Linked DNA regions of Danio rerio. The protein of the gene in region 1 interacts with the protein of each later gene in a biochemical or structural test. Links are inferred from orthologs where the notes say so. Each region holds a gene or a part of one and is shown on either strand. Other genes may lie near its edges.

Region 1 (4,218 bases):
TTCATGAGAACTGTTACACACATCCAGTAAATTACAGACTGATCTTTCATAAAGAATGTGTTGTTTCATTTGAAGAAGGTTGTTTTCTTTTATGAGAGAAACAAAAAAAATCAACCACTTGAAAATTCTCGGTTTCTCTGGATGTACTAGGTGTGGGATTCAGGAAAATGGTGATTGTTTTAATGTATGATGGTCTGATTGTCGGGACTCTTTTGTTTTGGTCTTGTTAATTCTCCAGTCTTTAATGCAGTGCTCGGCTCAAGTGTATACCACAGTGGGAGATGAAAGTATTTTGAGGTACATTTGACCTGATGTCAAATGTATGGTGGAGTTCTGCCAGTGTGCTTTTCACCTTACATACTGGCAGATTCACTATGCACCTGCCTCCTGAGAATGTCAGCAGTGACCACTCGCTCCCCCAGTGTACCCTTCAGTACCGAAGGGCCCTCTGTTGTTGGCTATAGCCCTATAGTGCAACTAGTTTCAGCTTCAGCTCAAGAGTTCCCCCCAGTGTCTGCGTCAACCCCAGAGTGCCCTCAATGTCGACGTCAGTCCTAGAGTGCCCGCCGAGGTTGGCTTCAGTCCCTGAGTGCCCTCAGTATCGGCTTTAACCCAGAGTGCCCCCAGTGTCTGCTTCAGCCCCAGAGTGCCCTCAGTGTTGGCTTTAGCCCCAGAGTGCCCTCAGTGTCTGCTTCAGCCCCAGAGTGCCCTCAGTGTTGGCTTTAGCCCCAGAGTGCCCTCAGTGTTGGCTTTAGCCCCAGAGTGCCCTCAGTGTTGGCTTTAGCCCCAGAGTGCCACCAGTGTTGGCTTCAGTCCCTGAGTGCCCTCAGTGTCGGCTTTAACCCAGAGTGCCCCCAGTGTCCGCTTCAGCCCCAGAGTGCCCTCAGTGTTGGCTTTAGCCCCAGAGTGCCCTCAGTGTTGGCTTTAGCCCCAGAGTGCCCTCAGTGTTGGCTTTAGCCCCAGAGTGCCACTAGTGTTGGCTTCAGTCTCTGAGTGCCCTTAGTGTCGGCTTTAACCCAGAGTGCCCCCAGTGTCTGCTTCAGCCCCAGAGTGCCCTCAGTGTTGGCTTTAGCCCCAGAGTGCCCTCAGTGTTGGCTTTAGCCCCAGAGTGCCCTCAGTGTTGGCTTTAGCCCCAGAGTGCCACCAGTGTTGGCTTCAGTCCCTGAGTGCCCTTAGTGTCGGCTTTAACCCAGAGTGCCCCCAGTGTCTGCTTCAGCCCCAGAGTGCCCTCAGTGTTGGCTTTAGCCCCAGAGTGCCCTCAGTGTTGGCTTTAGCCCCAGAGTGCCACCAGTGTTGGCTTCAGTCCCTGAGTACCCTCAGTGTCGGCTTCAACCCAGAGTGCCCCCAGTGTCTGCTTCAGCCTCAGAGTGCTCTTAGTGCTGGCTTCAGCCCCAGAGTGCCTCACAGTGTTGACCTCAGCTCCAGAGTGCCCTCGGTTTTGGCTTCAGCCCAAGAGTGCTCCCCAGTGTCTGCTTCAACCCCAGAGCGCCCTCAGTGTTGGCTTCAGCCCCAGAGTGCTCCCCAGTGTTGGCTTTAGCCCCAGAGTGCCCTTAGTGTTGGCTTCAGCCCCAGAGTGCCCTCAGAGTTGACTTCAGCCATCAGAGTGCCCTCAGTGTCGGCCTCAACCCCAGAGTGCCCTCAATGTTGGCATCAGTCCCAGAGTGCCCTAAGTGTTGGCTTCAGCCCCAGAGTGCCCCAAAGTGTTGACTTTAGCTCCAGAGTGCTTTCAGTGTTGGCTTCAGCCCCAGAGTGCCCCAGGGTGTTGGCTTCAGCTCCAGAGTGCCCCCAGTGTTGGCTTCAGCTCCAGAGTGCCCTCATTGTTGGCTTCAGCCTCAGAGAGCCCTCATTATTGGCTTTAGCTCCAGAGTGCCCCCCAGTGTTGACTTTAGCCTCAGAGTTCATGCAGTGTCTGCTTTGGTTCCAGAGTGCCCCCCAGTGTTGGCTTCAGCCCCAGAGTGCCCTCCAGTGTTGCCTTCAGCCTCAAAGGGCCCCTGAGTATCCACTTCAGGCCCAGAGCCCCCCCCCCCCCGATGTTGGTTTCAGACCAAGGGTGCCCCATAGTGTTGACTTCAGCCCCAGAGTTCCAGAGCATCCACTAGTGTCAGCTTCAGCCCTACGTGCTGTTAGGCTGGTTTTAGCTGGTCAACCAGGCTGGTTTTAGAGGGGTTTTGGCCCCTTTCAGGCTGGTTACCAGCCATTTCCAGCCTGGTCTTAGTTGGTCAGGCTGGAAAATGACCAGCCTTAACCAGCTAAAACCAGCTTGACCAGCCTGGTTTAAGTTGGACATAGCTGGTTTTGGCTGGATAAGCTGGTTTTAGCTGGTCACCTCCCAGCCTGACTAGCTAAGACCAGGCTGGAAATGGCTGGAAACCAGCCTGGAAGTGGCAAAAGTCTAGGCTGGTTTAAGCTGTTTTTTCCAGTAAATAAACAATTTTATTGAACATGTAATTTTTTATGTCTGTTCAAAAAGTAAGGGTTAAAGTGAAGGATTAACCAGTGTATCATGTATTTACAGTATAACGTTACCGATATTAGCAGTTAATATGTGGTTTTGCTGTAGTCACCATGTCTTGTAAGGGAAGTTTGAAATCCTGTGTCGCTCAAATCCACCCATATGAGACACTGCCAGCTGAGAGAGGACTGAACATCCACCTCAACTCGCAGACATGCAGAATTGACGCTTTACTCCACCATCTCCATCCTAATCTGCCACAGGAATGAAGACCTTGACGATTCATTTAACACGAGGTAAACATTCAGAGTTTTATTTGTAAAACTCGACGTGAGACGGATTGACACTTCTCCGTGACGTCATTCTCACTCGGCTAACATCAGCTAGCAGCTTTACCCATTCAAACACCTTTAGTTGTGTTTAGTTAATTTAACAACTTTCGTATACATTCGGGTGGTGTTATCTGACATGTTAGCTTGAGCTTCGTGCAGACTCGAGGACTGTTTTCGTCTCTGCAAGCAGTGGAGGTGTTATGAAAATAAACGATAGTTAGCTTGTTAGCTAACTAACAGCTGAATAATAATAACGCGTCTTTGTTTACACATGCACTCATTAATGCGTTTAAAAAGTACTTAGATGTTTTACAGCTAACGTTACTATTAACGCAGACTTTGTTTAGTCACACGTTGTTTGGTTTGTAATGTTTTATTTAAGCTAATTAAACTTTGACAGCTATGTTATTTCAGTAAAACTTGACGTATTTAGATGAAGTTATTATATTTACACAATATTTAGTATTATAAATAAATCACATTAGCAGCCAATGACTAGGAAAGTACACCATGCTAGTGTGATTTTAATGTCACTTTGCATGCGAATTCAGACCCAATATTCAAAGTAACGTGGTAAACAAGTACGTTTAATATATAAGTTGTCACTGAACGAATGTGGAAATACAAAACCAACCATACCTCAATATGTCACCTGTATTGTGTTTTTATTGGCTTTTCACTTAAGATAAAGTGCTTTAAACAGGGTTTCTGCTTGGTTTTTAAATGTCTTTAATCTCAAAATTTAAATGTTATGCCGTAAAAGTCTTAAAATAACTGAAATATTGTGTTTTAGGTCTTAAATCTTTTTTTAAACCGGTCTTAATTTTCCTTTGTTCATTTATAGCTACCAAATCTGGCCAAAACCCATACAATCACCAACAATCATCTCAATAAAACTTTTTATTTATAGAATATAATTTTAACTCTATTTACCGGTTTAATTATATTCCTAACAATAACATTCGTTTAAAAGATCTCTATCTATTTACTGCTGAGGAAAGCGACCTGGACAGATTGTTGTATATATTTAGTTTATTCATTCATTCATTTTTTTTTTGGCTTAGTCCCTTTATTAATCTGGGGTCGCCACAGCGGAACGAACCGCCAACTTATCCAGCATATGCCATTCCACCCCCAACCCATCTGTGAGAAACATCCACATTCACACACTCATACACCACAGACAATTTAGCCTACCCAATTCACCTGTACCGCATGTCTTTGGACTTTGTAAAAAAATGGAGACACCCGGAGGAAACCCACACTAACGCAGGGAGAGCATGCAAACTCCACACAGAAACACCAACTGACCCAGCCGATGCTCGAACCAGCGACCTTCTTGCTGTGAGGCGACTGCTATTTAGTTTATAATAGTTGTTAAAACTTTTTAAAAACATTTAATCTTTTTTTAATTCAAAGAAAGTTTATGTTGGG
Region 2 (4,210 bases), on another chromosome or scaffold:
CAAAGTAACTCTTGACCTACATTTGTTTCCCATTCAGTAATCCAGTTTCACTCAGAAATACATCAAATGGGATGCCACAACAGATTCTAAATCTAATGAGTATGCTGCTTTACAGGAGGACATATATATTGCATGTAAATACCTTCTAACATGTATAGATTAAAATGTGAAAACTAAAAAAGCTGTGTTTTCCACATTAACTGTTAAAGCTATGTTAGCTCAACCAATGGGATTTACCTATTCGGTTCAGAGAACATGTAAAAAAAACAGCCTTTTCTGTTTAAATGGTGTAAAACCTACACACTCAACCACTAAAGTAAAAAACAGCTCTAAATCGAAGGGGTGATGCAATTTGCTCACAATAACAGAGTGCAAGGAAACAGATCTGTAGATCTGCCACAAAACAAATAAGAAGCTTCTACATGATTTCACTTGAGATGAATATTATGTTTCCTTCAGATATCACTGTGGAATTATAGTCTAAGCACTAAAAAGCAGTTAAATCTGGCCTTCCAGAAAACAGTGGGCAAGCGTTAGCTCACAAATCCATGGCTTCTCTCTCAAAGCGTCTCCTCTTGCAGCCCCACCAACTGCCTTCTCTTATGTAACCCACTCTGTTTCCTCAGCTCGCCTGTCTTTATTGGCTGATTTCTCTGTTTTTCACATTATTACCACTATCTTGTGCTGTAGTGATGATTGCCAAAAATCAAACAGCTTTTTTCCATTTTACTTACTGCACAGCCTTCCAATTCAAATGTACCTCAGAAGCGATAGCCTTCGCAAATGACACACATCCACGAGGCCTTCAAAGATAACTAAAGCTTCTTTAATAATCTTGACAGACAACAGCCTAACCAGAGGAGGAGAAACCAGCAAGATGATCCATGGTCTCCTCCTCACATACGAGAATCTTTAATAGCGACATTGTCCTATATACCTCTGTTAAACAATTTCCTTCTCATTAATTAAACATACACTCCATCAATATGCCCTAGGAGTGCTTGTGCCTATCAGGTATTGCGTGCGGCGCTCAGGAGAAGATATTTGCTTGATTTATTTTCACATTGCTGCACGCCATACATCAAAATAAGAGGGAAATTACTGAAGAAACTGAGAATAAACAGGAAATGTCAGATCTTAAGGGTTCATTTGTTCAGTTTACAGCAAATGCTGCCAAGAAGGCATGCATAATTCATGATTAAAACAAAAGCGAATGAGTGAAAAACCGCACTGCTTTTGACTGATGCCTCTCCCATCCTCTGAACGGAGGCAGAATTAGTCAGCTCCTTGCTCACGCCTTCCTTCCCTGCGCTTGGTGAAATTTCACCCTCGCTGCCACCGAGATCTCACCCTCCATTTTCTCTGCATCTCCGCCACTCGCTCTGCATCCTCTCTCCCTCGGCCATGGACAATTACCAATAAAAACCTGTGCGCTCGCACACACCCCCACACCGTAGACATGCACGCACACTGAAGGCACAGAGCATGCATGCGGCTCGTTCTCACATGAGAGCCTGCTTCCTCCATTTTATACATTCAGAGCGACCCTTCCCCCACCCCTGCTGCCACTTACACACACACACACACACACCTCACTTAATTACAGCTTCTGTTTCCAGGTTCAGTTTAATACGCTCTGCTACATGAGGTTAAAATCTAGCTGAAAAGATAGACGAACAGTGCATAACGCTCGACGTCTCGCTTCTGGCTGTATCTCAACAGGCTGAAAAGGAACATGAAAATGCACACGTTGTCAACATCTTCACCTCCTGAATCTAAAATAATAATCCATTACTCGTTGGAAATTAGATTTGATCGTGTGTTCCGCCTGGTCAGCGGCAGTGTTGGCAGGGTCACTGCCATCCTTGGATTAAATTGGCGGAGCTACATTCACTTGTTGCGTGGTCACAGCGGCCCTGTCAATCCTTGTCAGATGACGGTTTAGATAAGTATGTACACAGGGGATTGATGAAACCATAAAGCAGCGATGGAGCATTAAATACATGAAGATTAAACTCCTCTGCAAGAATCAATCTTGACGAGCATACTGTAAGATTACAGCACATGCAGTATGAAAGGATCAACACTGGATGAATCCCTTAAAAAAAGCGATGCATCGCTTAGTAGCCTAAGGGAGCTGGCTGATTCTACTTGGTTTCAAGCTAGAGACCACATACACCAACTGCCTACCGCCTGCTGCCTACTCTCAGTGCCCCCAACAGCCCCCAAACGCCATTTACCTGGTCATACCAGTCCCGGTTGGAACAGGTGCACTCGGGCCACCATCCTCCTTGCCCTCCTGAGTTGTTACCATTCACCTTGGGGCCGCCCTTGGATTGGCTCTTAGGGTTGGGACCTCCAGGACCCCCAGCTGACATCATTTTCCCTTTACTTCTCCCCAAAGTGCCCCCTCCACCCATTCCCCCTCCTCCACCCGAGGTCTGGGGCGGTAAGGTCTGGCCACCCCCATAGCCGGCCGGGTATCCGTAGGGTTCGGGCTGCCATTCTCCATATGCTGGGGCGTCCATCCTGCGCAGGGCGGCCATGCGGGTCACTTCATAGCATTCTGGGCACTTGCAGCAGTGGTGATGTTTGTGCATGCTGGCTAGTTCACGCGGTGCGGCGCTCTCTGTCTCTTTCTATCTCACTGCTGCTGCTGCTCCCTGCTCAGATCAAACGCAGCGCGCAGAACGGCAGCACAAATGGCAGAAATCTTCACAAACCCTGTTATCCTCCTCTTTGTTCCTGGCGATCCACAAAAAGAGATGAGGAGGTAGCAACAGGGTGATGAAAAATAGAAAAAGCTTGGTAGTCTTCCTCCAGTCGATGCAAAAGGCTTGGAAAAATAATGCTGAAAATAGTGTGTATGATCTCGGAATCAGAGACCAGCCCCGATGGTCGAGTTCTCTTCTTGCTTCTGTTGCTTCACAGTGATATGTATATAAATTCATAGATATATATATTCATTTGTTTATATATGTATATATTTACACACACACAAGTACATATAAAAATATCAATATAAACAGACGAGCACAAATACAATTATATACAGGTATATATGTATACATATATATTTCTATAAATATCAATATGCGTGTGTACAAATATATATAGATATATATATAAACAATTTCTATATATAAACGATATCCGTGATCAGGTCTTCCTCTGAAAGTCTCTGCTTGCCAGATTTCTTCCTTCTGCGTTTCCTCCTGCTTCTGGAAGCGTTTTCTTGCCTTCTTTCTCTCACTCTTTTCCCAGTCTGCAGAGAGAAGCTGAGCACTGGATTGACTCTCAGCCTGCTTGCCCTAGATGTGGATTATACGAAGGGATGCAAGCAAGCGAGGGAGAGAGGGAGGGATAGAGAGAGAGAGAGAGAGAGAGAGAGAGAGAGAGATGCGTAGCAGCATCCCTCCAGCACCTCAGCCCTGACAGCCACAGCCAATCAACTCACAGCACAGCCATCAGCAGCAGCACCAACACAGGGCTGACTGCTTCAGTGACTGCTCTTAAAGGGCCAGCACACCAAAAAATCTCTCTGCACACAGAGCCCGATTGGAGACCTGCCTTGAGGGTTTATACTGAAGACGTGTAACATACGAGGCTGACAGAAAACCTATCTATTCAATCTAATTACATTATAAGAGTATTAACTAGTGTGTGTCTGTTTGTGTGTATGTATATATATATATATATATATATATATATATATATATATATATATATATATATATATATATATATATATTACTATTAGTAACTAGTATACATATGGCTTGTTTATAATCTCCATGAAACTTCATAGATCAAAAACAAAAACAGATTTGACTCCAAAGAAATAACCAGTTGTCTAACAGCTATATTCAGTTATAAACATTCATATTTGTAGTGTGTAATAATGTGGGATAGTACACCCGAAAATGTCAATTTTCTGTTAAATTACCCAGCTTCAGTCTATCTAAAATGTCTTTATTTTTCTTCAATAAAACAATAATAAAATTTTTAGCTGAAACAAGTTTTCTTTTTTGATTCATAAAATGCCAATGACTTAATAAAGAAAAATAATTATAATAAAAAGCACAGACCAACAAAATTAATACTAGTGGCTCATGACAATACAATTGAGGTATTGAATGAATGGACCAATATGTGCAAGTACTGTACATTATTATGAAATTATTTATTTACTTTAAGCCTTAGAAATGGT

Evidence for each region.
Region 2: the proteins of cysltr2b (region 1) and dlg3 interact in a test that uses a peptide from one of them, tested with the Homo sapiens proteins (2 studies listed by IntAct, with this or other methods). The link is inferred for Danio rerio from reciprocal best matches to the Homo sapiens genes CYSLTR2 and DLG3.

The regions. Positions count from the first base shown.
Region 1 is NC_133190.1:3,203,618-3,207,835, forward strand, and holds the start of cysltr2b (cysteinyl leukotriene receptor 2), read right to left. Parts: upstream 2,838-4,218; 5' UTR 2,565-2,837; intron 1-2,564. UniProt on the Homo sapiens protein: Receptor for cysteinyl leukotrienes. The response is mediated via a G-protein that activates a phosphatidylinositol-calcium second messenger system.
Region 2 is NC_133189.1:37,721,900-37,726,109, forward strand, and holds the start of dlg3 (disks large homolog 3), read right to left. Parts: upstream 2,826-4,210; 5' UTR 2,601-2,825; coding exon 2,241-2,600; intron 1-2,240. UniProt on the Homo sapiens protein: Required for learning most likely through its role in synaptic plasticity following NMDA receptor signaling.